3 linked regions of the Tribolium castaneum genome follow. The protein of the gene in region 3 interacts with the protein of the main gene of each other region in a pairwise test. Links are inferred from orthologs where the notes say so. Each region holds a gene or a part of one and is shown on either strand. Other genes may lie near its edges. The genes, in order: Prosbeta6, CCDC53 and SCAR.

What was found.
Region 1: the proteins of SCAR (region 3) and Prosbeta6 interact in a two-hybrid assay, tested with the Caenorhabditis elegans proteins (3 studies listed by BioGRID). The link is inferred for Tribolium castaneum from reciprocal best matches to the Caenorhabditis elegans genes wve-1 and pbs-6.
Region 2: the proteins of SCAR (region 3) and CCDC53 interact in a two-hybrid assay, tested with the Caenorhabditis elegans proteins (2 studies listed by BioGRID). The link is inferred for Tribolium castaneum from reciprocal best matches to the Caenorhabditis elegans genes wve-1 and ddl-1.

What each region holds. Positions count from the first base shown.
Region 1 is NC_087394.1:25,341,564-25,344,425, reverse strand, and holds Prosbeta6 (proteasome subunit beta type-1), read left to right. Parts: upstream 1-1,446; 5' UTR 1,447-1,570; coding exon 1,571-1,665; intron 1,666-1,711; coding exon 1,712-2,324; 3' UTR 2,325-2,362; downstream 2,363-2,862. UniProt on the Caenorhabditis elegans protein: Non-catalytic component of the proteasome, a multicatalytic proteinase complex which is characterized by its ability to cleave peptides with Arg, Phe, Tyr, Leu, and Glu adjacent to the leaving group at neutral or slightly basic pH.
Region 2 is NC_087402.1:711,186-715,283, forward strand, and holds CCDC53 (WASH complex subunit 3), read right to left. Parts: upstream 2,738-4,098; 5' UTR 2,607-2,737; coding exon 2,556-2,606; intron 2,496-2,555; coding exon 2,331-2,495; intron 2,260-2,330; coding exon 2,021-2,259; intron 1,971-2,020; coding exon 1,928-1,970; 3' UTR 1,848-1,927; coding exon of another isoform or gene 1,710-1,847; 3' UTR 1,664-1,709; coding exon of another isoform or gene 1,490-1,663; 3' UTR 1,322-1,489; coding exon of another isoform or gene 1,319-1,321; 3' UTR 607-1,318; coding exon of another isoform or gene 502-606; 3' UTR 501-501; downstream 1-500. Other genes in the region: acidic leucine-rich nuclear phosphoprotein 32 family member B, read right to left, coding at 502-606; RpL36A (large ribosomal subunit protein eL42), read left to right, coding at 1,319-1,321, 1,490-1,663, 1,710-1,847. UniProt on the Caenorhabditis elegans protein: Acts as a component of the WASH core complex that functions as a nucleation-promoting factor (NPF) at the surface of endosomes, where it recruits and activates the Arp2/3 complex to induce actin polymerization, playing a key role in the fission of tubules that serve as transport intermediates during endosome sorting.
Region 3 is NC_087399.1:10,151,490-10,155,765, forward strand, and holds the start of SCAR (actin-binding protein WASF3), read right to left. Parts: upstream 2,819-4,276; 5' UTR 2,659-2,818; intron 1-2,658. Other genes in the region: uncharacterized protein LOC107398411, read left to right, coding at 3,391-3,792, 3,847-4,276.

The sequences.
Region 1 (2,862 bases), on a different chromosome or scaffold from region 3:
CTGTAAAGCATCAGTTGGTTTCACAAAATATTGCTTTCTTCATAGTCATTAGTCATTACATAAACATCTATTTTGATATGTCAGTATTTATTTCAATATTGGGATGATAAATTTATAAATAATATCGGGAACCATAAAATACTGTGAAAAAATCTATTAGCAATGTTGAACCGTTTGAAATTGATAGTTAAGTTTGCCAAAGGAATATTTAACTGAACAACAAATGATTTTTTTAGAGACATTTAAAGTTTTTCAAAAATCAAAAACAAAAAGTCGTAGAGTAAAATGGTTTGTTCCAGTAAATTTTGCGGCTCATACTACGTATCAGTTTTTCACGAGAATTCAAATTTTGATTTTTTTTGCTTAAAAATTTATTATTTTTTTAAACTCACTCTAGGAAAGCTTATGGACTTTTCTATGCCTTTATAACTCACTCGGGTTGTTAAAAGTATAAAAAATGTCAATAGGTTCTTAAAGTTTGAGTTTTTTAATTTTTGCGAAATTTTCTCGATTTTCGGTACCCGGAACATTAATCAAGCAGTAACACCGGAACTATTTGAGATAACCATATGGTCTAATTTATTATCGTTAGAAAGCTCTTTTATCTATATTTTTCAAAAAAAGATGATATTGTTCTCCGGCTAAGAGTTTTCGAAGAAAATTGCGAATAAAAGCAAAAATAGAAAAAATAAAAAAAATCATAAGTAAAAAGCTATTGGAAGTTTGGTGATTTTCTTGACGTCGATTGATTTCCAGGATCATTTTACACAGGCTTAGACCAAAATAATTTAGAAAATAGAAAAATAAAAATAAATAAATTATTTTTTAGTTTTTTTATGATTTTTTCATCTCTGTTGTTAATTTCATCCTCATCAAATAAATTTTTATTGTAAGAAAAGGTAACTGGTTTAGTATTAAAATTATCGTATCGGAGTCAATTTTTTTAAGTTTTAATTAAGATAAATTAATATCATCCACATTAAATAATAAGTCTTTAATTTAAAAGGTTAGCTTTAATTTAGTTTTTAAATTGTCATATCTGTACCAAATGTTTTTTAAGTTTTAAGGTAAATGTAATAAAGTTAATGTAATAAATGTTGTTAATTTCAACCCCATTAAAAATAAATCTTTAATCAAAAGAGTAATTTTTGGTTTAATTTTTAAATAATCGTGTAATACAAATATTTATAAGTGTAATAAATTAGTCGTTATACGTTTAATTATGTTTTTTTTTCACATATTTATCGTAAGTTCGGCGGTGTACCTAAACTAAAAAAATTTGGCGCTGCATGTTATTTTTAAAATATTTATTATAGGCAACCATTTATACAAATACCAAATTCGAGCCGACGCACATTCTTTACTCCATGCCTGGTCTGAAAAGTAGTAAAAAATAGCCTTTTTTGTAAGAAACACGTTTACGACTAAAATTTTGATGATTGTGATTTATTTAAGTATAATTTGTTGGTTTTGTAACGATTCAACCGTGTACGATTTCGGTCGCTTCCATATTTGACATCTGACATCTTATTTTGTGTTGTCATTCAATTCGAGTAAGTGTTAATACGAAATGGCTTTATTACACTCCGAAAACCGCCCCAATTACCCCGACTATGCTACAGCCCCCACACAGCACCACTTCAGCCCCTATGCCGACAACGGAGGGTAAGCATTCCTCACATTAAACCCCTCCCTACAGCCCCTTTTGTAGGAGTGTGGTTGCAATCGCCGGCGACGATTTCGTGGTAATAGGCGCTGACACCCGTCTCAGTGCCGGTTTTTCAATTTACACCCGTGACCAGAATAAATTGTTCCGTTTATCGGACACTACAGTACTGGGATGTTCGGGTTGTTGGTGCGACACTCTCACCCTGACCCGCATTTTGAGCGCTCGCATGCAAATGTACCAACAGGAGCATAATAAAACCATGGCCACACCGGCTTGTGCCCAAATGCTATCAACCATGTTGTACTACAAGCGGTTTTTCCCATACTACATTTCTAATATTCTCGTTGGATTGGATAATGAAGGGAAAGGGTGCATTTATAGCTACGATCCGATTGGACATTGCGAGAAAACCACGTATAGGGCTGGGGGCTCCGCGGGGGCCCTCCTACAACCGCTTTTGGACAATCAAATTGGCTTGAAAAATATGCAAAACGTCAAGGATTCTAAATTAACGTTGGAGAGAGCAGCTGCCATCATCAAAGACGTTTTTATTTCAGCCGCTGAGAGAGATATTTTCACAGGGGATAGCATTTTGATTAACATCATCACCAAGGATGGTATTAAGGAAGATAGTTTTCAATTGAGGAAAGATTAAATTGGTGTTTTTTTTGCTTAATAAATCAGTGTTTGGTATTGATTGTTTTATTTAACAAATATTTCGGTAAAGGAATTCTAATTCTACCACATACAATAATCTAAAAAAATTATAACAAATAGGTCACACTCAAATATCTAAACATTCGAATTATTACTTTGACGTGATGATTGAACCACGGCTTCCTTGATCAATGAGGGACACGGCTTAACGTGGCGCCATCTGTTAGTCAACAATTGGTTGCCATGGTTATTACCACCTAACTAGTGTTGCCAGACCTATTGATTTTTCGGTAGACCTAAATCAGTTTGAAAATATTTACACTACAGTATAGATTTAAAAAAATGTTGAATTTTTATATACTTTAAAATAACACGATAATGATACGAACTGCAAAGGCCCCTGCGTTTCCACGTAGAGTTTTGACTAAAGGGCATTTTTCGAGTTTGCAATAAAGGCACAATAAGCGGGGAATACATTAAATTGGGTTTTAATGAAAAATAAGTCTCAAAATGACCATAATGTCTAAAGTAACTTG
Region 2 (4,098 bases), on a different chromosome or scaffold from region 3:
TTTATGAGACGCTTTGCATTGAAAAACCGGACCAAAGTGGTCAATCTCCGGGTTATCGTGAAATTTGCAACGAAATCGTCAACTCGCACGCGGAAATCTTTCTAGAATCCGATGTTATTAAAATATTAGTGTGGCATCTAGCCTCGCACGAGGACGCCTCCAAGTTGCTATTGATTTCGCCATATTGAATCGAGCAAGCGATGCTAGCCTCAACCCGGGGTCCATTGTATATGGCGGGATGCTTTCCAAGCGTGTTTACACCGCATGCCATAATGAAAAACAGTCGAAAACACCATGGCAACAACAAATTTAGCATCGTATTGTCGCAAAGCCGCCTCCGCGCCGGGAAAAAGCCCCGTTCACATGGCAACCATCCCGCGGAAAACGCGTGAAAACGGCGTTTCCGCGCGTTTTCCACGCGAAAATCCCGACCACAACATCCAACGGCCATGTGACCTTATCGCAAAGCAGCGTAAATGCGAAAGAAACAGTCGAACTCACCTCCGCCGCTCGCTTCGTGCCTTTTAACTCGCATTTGGCGTCGGGCGCACTTTTGTCGTTGTCGATTTTTTCGACAGCAACTTCGTTATTTTCTTTCGAACTCATTTTGTTTATATTCCTGTGTGGGTTTCACGCTTTATCGAAAAGTGACGTTCACCAACGTTGAACACTACTGACCGGCTACTCGTTAGCTTTGTTCAAAAATTAAGATGGCGCCGCTCAAACCGATCGGCCCCGGACTTGGACGAGTGACCGGCTTTCGACTCCCTAAACTATTTATTCACACCAACCGCCAAAAACCAAAAGACAACAAATTCCAAGCTTTTTCGGTGTCTCGGACCCAAAAAACGTGCGCCAGATTTTATGAAATTAATTGCAAGGTGTTTGCTCATGAGGGTTCCGAGAGCACGGATTGAGTTTTACGAACCGGACCGAGATTAAAAACGTGGTTTGAGTATGCCACCGCCAGGGGCGCTCTTCAAAAAATTTCCCTCCACAATCACATTCATTTTATTATTATGCAGAAAAACAGCCGATTATTGACTCAATTTAAAAGGGAACTATTCGGCACGACTTGTTACCCACTAATTAAAACGCCTTTCCCTTGTGGCCGCAAAAATGCGTCTTAAAAACTTTTTCTTCTATTTTTCCTTGCGACCACGTGAAACGAATTAAAACTCTATAAACTTATAACGAAACACTTTTCTATCTTTCATCCAATATAGCAATTCAAAATTCGCGCCAATGTAAACGACGCATGCGCATAGTGTGACACGTTGCATCTCTCTCTTTTTTTTGCAATAAAGAAAATCCCAAGATGGTAAGCAGGTTTTCAATCAAATATCTCAAAAAATCGCAATAATCGGCCTTTGAATTACCGAAAATTTAGCGAATTCGTGCATTTGGCGTCCTTGGAAGGGCACATTCCTGTTTATTTTCGCGTTTTGAGGACGTTTGATGAATTGTGGGGTTATGTCATTGTTTTTAGGTTAACGTCCCGAAGCAGAGGCGCACCTTCTGCAAGAAATGCAAGGTGCACAAGTTGCACAAAGTCACCCAATACAAAAAGTCCAAGGAACGTCACGCTTCGCAAGGTAGGAGACGTTACGACAGGAAGCAGCAAGGTTTCGGTGGACAAACCAAGCCCATCTTCAGGAAGAAGGTATTTTTTTACCTACTTTGAGTGTGGGGCTATTGTGTGTTTTTAGGCTAAAACCACCAAGAAAATCGTGCTCAGGATGGAATGCACTGAATGTAAATATAGGAAACAGATTCCCTTGAAACGCTGCAAGCACTTTGAATTGGGTGGCGACAAGAAGCGCAAGGGACAAATGATTCAGTTCTAATTGTTTGACTAAATAAACACATTTTGTAAAAATTCATAACGTGTTTTATTTATACTTTTAACAATGTTTTTTTAACACAATTAATTAACCGAGGAACTGTCTTGCGTATCAGTTGATTTGGAACTAAAAAATAACGGACGTGTTGCTGATTCGCCAGTGATAGTAGTACTTACTCCAATATGCAAGGGTCAAGTCCCTCTGTTTGCATTTTCAGCTTGACAGCAGCTGGGGGAACCCCAAATTGCAACATTTTGAAAAAGCGTTGATATCGCGGGTCTGACGCAACATCAGGCTCTACCTCTACATTTTTTTCAATTTGCGTCTCCTCGTCTTTAACAGGAGGCAGATCTAAATCGTTTTGTTTAGGCGAGTCCTTTGCAGTGTTTTCTTCTAAATGCGCAATTGAACCTAACTAACACAACCGACTCACTTTTGCGCCAAATAATCGGAACTTAAGGCATTCTAGCATTGTTCAATACTTACTTGCGACTCAAGTATAAGTAAAGAAGCCTCAACTTCTTGCAGTTTGTACTCGAATTCCATCAAACGCGATTCACACGACTGTGCAAAATGGTTTAAAAACGACACCGTATTCATTACGAAATGATTGATAAAAGCAATCGTGCGCTTTTGTTGAATGGGTAAAATCTAAGTGGAGAAGTTGGACGTGATTGTTGCTCGAATGGGTCGCTTTTTTCAAAGACTTACCTGCGTGTAATCCACATTTGGATCAATTGAGGAAAGGTCGTTCACTTGCATTATTTACATTATCTGAGTGAAAAACACTCAAAATTAGGGGGAATCAAGGCATCGGCACAAGTTTATTGAATTAATTGGCTCCAAAGGGACACAAAGAACCTGAGTGACAGCTGTCAAAAGTGACGTTTGAGGTTAGATTGTGGCGAAAGGATCGCTTTTTATGCAATTAACAAACGCAAACACGCTCAATAAAACAGATTTATTATGCCAGATTTATAAAATAACATTGCATCTTGTAAAATATAAAAACAATCACAGTATAAATAAACTTGATATAGACTAAACTACAAACCTTAACAATTTTATAAGAAAACTATCATTGAATTTAGGGCGGTACACAGTACTGTTATATTTAATGTCAAATATTGAACTCGCTTTTGCATTACTTAGACTTAAGTAATGGTGGTTTCATGGAGCACCCTTGTACATATCACTAGCTTGGCAAATATTATCTAGCGCGCTATTGGCCAATCGCGTTAAACTATCAGTCATATTCGGCTCCTGGCGCCCCTCACTCTCGTCCATAAGCGATAGATTTTGGGTGAAAGTCTCTGACAAGTTATTTGTCTCAAGCATGCTTAAATCACCCGAGTTTAAGTCAATCGGTTTCAACTCCAATTGTTGATTGTCCAGATTTAATAAACTGCTTATACCACTTGGCGTTTCACTTAAATTAACACCACTGAGATCATTTTGGGCGGAAGGATTCCAATTCATGTTTAACATATCGCCGACTACTGAAGTCGAAGGCATATTCCAGTTCATCATGCCTCCGATTGGCGGAAGCACGTTCTGGAACAGAGGGGCTTCCGGGGGCGTGGGGGCCACGTAATGGGGCGACACGTTCGGGATGGGCGCCTCGAACATCTGCCCGCCGTACGGCGAAGGCGCCTTATCTAGAAAAAAACACTAAAGCGGGGAAAAATATAAAATTAAATTACCTCTGGGCTCGACTTTAATGCCTTCGGATGGAATGTTGAGTAGGAAGGGTTGGTGCGTCCCTAACAAAAAATCATTAATAAATTGGCCAAATCACAAATTAACTTAAAATCACGCAAAACTACTAAACAAACCAATTGTTAGCCAACATAAGCTCAACCAATTAATAAAACAAAACAAGTTATAAGAAAAAATCATGCAAAACATTCATGTACCTTAATTCCGGTGACAGTTGGCTGCAGCTTATGACGCAATGAAAGACTGTTTACTTGTAAAAAACTTTAATACTTCAGCTGATATAAAGATATAAAGCCTTTAGAAAACACTAACAATCTACCTTTAAACTTTCCAAACAATTGAACATCAACACACTTAAAATTGTATAACTTTGTGTAATAATTCCGATCACAGCCCCATTGATGGATGGGGGATTTCGATTTTGGGCGTAATAGGCGACATATCGCGGCTTTTTAATTTAAAAAAAGGTTAAAAAATTCAAATATAAGACATGAGCACTGTCAGTGTCACTTTTAACGAGCTAAAAATATACCTA
Region 3 (4,276 bases):
CTTTGTGAAACCACTTTCGGTTTCACAATGAACATTTTGTAAAACCATAATAGTAGTACTATTTTCAATCAGAAACGCATTTTTTAATGTGATTTCGTCAAAAATACACCGCAAAATTATTAAAATAAGTCAAAGTTTGTTACTTTTGCTTTTTTTCGAAAACTTTAGATTTTTGTTTTTTGGCAAAAAATTCATATTGTTTCAAAAGATTAGTTACTTAATCCGAAATAACTCTGAAAAACAATTATTAACGAAATTTTGTCAAAAATAAGCCAAAAGCCTTTAAAACACCTCAAAATTGGCATATCTTTCCAATATAAATCATGGAAATTAAAAAAAAAGAAAAAAATCGTCTTATTTTTGTTTTTTTGAGTTTTTAAAACGTTTGGAAACGTTTATTTTGCAAGGTTTTGCTGAAACCGGCCAAAAAACACAAAATTATCTTGAAAATGATTCCATTTTCACTTTTTTACGGCGTTTTTCACATAGAAATGCTTTATTTTGCAAAATTTCCAAAATAAAGCCAAAAAATCATTGATACAGTTCAAAATTAGTGTAATGTTTGTTTTTTTTAGCGTTTTGGATCTTTTTAGAGCAAGATTTAGATGAATCATATTAAAAAACGTAATGATTTTGCGCTAGAAACCAGAAAAATAATGAAACCAAATCGAAAATTTCGTTATATTTGTTTTGAAACGTTTCTAAATTTAGTTTTTTTTCAAAGATTTTGCTAAAGCGGGTCTAAACAATACAAATTTAAATCTAAAATGACTATTTTTGCAGATCGAAATCAGTGTTCGCATATTCTTTTAGCATGTTAGATCGTTTTTAAGCTAAACACTTAGCTTTTTTGTGAGATCTTGTCAATAGAAATCACAGACATTTGGAAATCAAGTCAAAAATTGTAATGGGTGCTTTGCTTTTAAAACGTTTCTAAATTCAGCTTTTCTAATGAAATGGGTCAAAAAATGAATAATTTAACTTGAAAATTACTTTTTTTGCTTTTTGGGATGTTTTTTATTGTGGAACGCATCAAATATGTCATAATTAGTGTTATTCTTGCTTTTTTAATCGTTTTATTACACAATAATTTGGTTGTCTATTTTATTTTTGTAAAAAAAATCGTCAAAAAATAAAATGTTAATGTTAATTTTTTCAGAAAAAATTTGGTTATAATCAATATTTAACGTAAGTTACAGAAGATTAGAAGATGTTCATAAAATTTTCAGGGCTCCCCTGACTACAGTTTCATTTAGACGCTTTCTAATAGATTAGATTTTGCAAAAATTTTGTGTATGGCTTTAATCCTTTAATCATACTTATTGGGACAAATAAATAAAAAAAGGGGTGTGGTATTATTTAATGAAAAATAATTTTGCAAAAATCGATTTTCAATTTCTTCTGTTGATTACATTCAAAACTTTTGGCAGTGTTTTGAAATCATTTAAATGCTCATAAAGAATATGAATCAATTGGTTGTTCCCTAGATGTGATAAAAACTTGTGTGACAAGACATGTGTGTAGAGTAGATATGAATATGGAACACCTAAATACACCTGAAAAATATTACAACCATGATTCATCAAAATACTATTAACACTTCAGACCTTGGGAGTATTATTCCTGTTTTAAGTATTTACACTAGATAAAGCAGTACATTTTTGAGAGAATTTCGACGTAAATTTTTATCAGGGAAGCCACTCCCTTAAGTTCTAAACTGAATAATATCCTAATTTTTGAGAAAATAGTTATTTAAAATTTAATTAGAAGAATATCACATTTCCATCGAAGGTCATCAATAATATGTCGTTATGCCGATATAAAAATACAGTATTTATAATAAAATAACCATTAAATGTAAAATGAATGATTTTTTGCAAATTAGTTAGAAAAAATTGCGTTTTTGACCTCGTTTTTTTGTTTTCAATTCATTTATTACAGAAACATCGATTTTTAACAATTCTCACTTTAGTAAACAATTATCATAACTGATTAGCGTGATTTAATTTTAAGTATTCCTTCACCTTTCCCAAATGTAGTAGACCTTTGTGTTATTGTTATTTTAGGGGTTGAAGGACGAAAAAATCAGTAACTATGACGACAACCAATCCAATTATTGGATTTCTCATTTCTAATAATAAGTGCCCTTTAAATTTTAACAGAATCACACGTGATTACATCAATTCCGTTTAAAAAATGCAATCGTTCACCAATTGAACTTTGAAACGCACCGCTACAGAAGTGAAAACTAAACCGTTTCAACATTTCTTGAAGAAAAAAGGTTAAATCTCTGTTTCCCGTTTTCGTCACCATATGTTACCGCTTTATGGAAATAAATAAATTAGTGCATGACGTGCGAAAGACATCTGTGAAGGTTATTAACCGCCAATTAATAAACTAAAGCGTGGCAGGAAGTGCCCCAAACTGGCTTCGCTCTCATCAATACTGTCTCCAACAAGGAAGTGAGTCATTAGGGGGCCACATACGCCCCATTTAACAAATATGAGCAAACACAAGCTGCAAGGTCAAGTCATTTGTCGCAATTACGCGAACAGACACCGCAAACGGCCAGATTTTGGGGCAATTTCTCGCAGAAAATGTCAAATAGAAAGGGGAAAGGCCAACTAGCAGGAGTCGAGATTTCCGCCCATTTCTTACCTCGGCATGGTCTGGGACACTCACTGGGGGGCGCAAACGTTGCCACACATGTTTTTGCACACACGACACTAATTGTTTCGTTAAAAACGGCGATAATTTAATAAATATCGCAGAAAATGGCGAAGCGGTACACCCAACAAACACGATTGAGCAGGACTGCCACACCCACGGAGCGAAAATCACCAACAGCAGCGGCGTCGCGTCAATCAATATTGCGGCCACTTTGGGGATAAAATAAATAAAATTGGGGCGTGCGAGGGAAAACCCTCATTTTAATACATTTTTGTGCGAATGAGGGTGTCATTGCTCGACACTTGATGTTTATTTGGGGGAATTACCAGTGGCGTGCGGAACGTACTGGGGATTTTTGTGTTGGCAACGTTATGTAATAAAAAACTGTTTTTCTTAAATTATTATATTTATAAAATAATAGTAATTTTTGTATTAAGTGCGCGAAATGAGTGTTTTTTTAATGGCGCCTGAGAATGTTATTTTAGTCGAGACCGCCAGGTCGAGACCTAAAAGACATTCGAAGGCGCCATTAAAACATGAATTTCGCCACGAAATACAAACAACGTTTTTTCTACAGCCTCCAGATGAAGAAAAAAGTAACAGAAATTAGTTGGAACAAAATGGTCTGATAAATCGAGTTGCTTGCATGGTTACGATGATAAATAAAAGTGATAGTTGCGAAAAATTTGTCACAATAGGTATTTTTGTTGAAGAAGTGTGATGGATTTTAGCAGCGAAAACGAAATAGATGCAATTGCAAGCGCGGCAGTGTCGAATCTTTTGCCTGCTAAATCAAGACCGCAGTACGAAAAAACGTATCTTCAGTTTCGGCAGTGGTGTTCTATGAAAAAGATTGATCAAGTAACGGAAAATGTTTTGTTGGCGTATTTGGAAGAAAAGTCTACCACCTTAAAGCCACCAACACTCTGGGCCCTTTATGCGATGTTGAAAGCCACCTTAAACGTTAAAGAGAATATCGATACACGTAAGTTTCCGAAGTTAGTGCCCTACCTGAAAAGCAAAAGCGTAGGTTACAGAAGCAAGAAGTCGCAAATTTTAGACAAAGAAGACATTAGCAAGTTTATTAATGAAGCAGATGACAAGATATATTTACTGATGAAGGTAAACTTATCATATTAGTGTAATACAAATCAAAACAACTCGTTTTATTTATAGACTGTGCTAATTTTGGGTATATCGGGAGCCCTTCGACGTGAAGAATTAGTTAAAATGAAGCTAACTGACATAGAAGATAAACAGTCTGTCTTAATTGTGAAGGTGCCTGATACAAAAACCCACTGCGAACGAATATTTACTGTTTCAAATTTAGAAAATATAGAAATTGTCAGAAAATATAGAGCTTTGCGGCCTCCACGGGCGACTAGTGACCGTTTATTTTTAAAGTATACCAACGGAAAATGTGTGAATCAAAATGTTGGAATTAACAAAATCGGAGAGATACCAAGTTTGATTGCAAAGTGGCTTAACAAAGACGAACCTAAAAAATATACTGGTCACTGCTTCAGAAGAAGCTCTGCCACTCTTTTGGCGAATGCTGGAGGTGATCTAATTTCAATTAAACGTCATGGGGGCTGGAGAAGCAGCA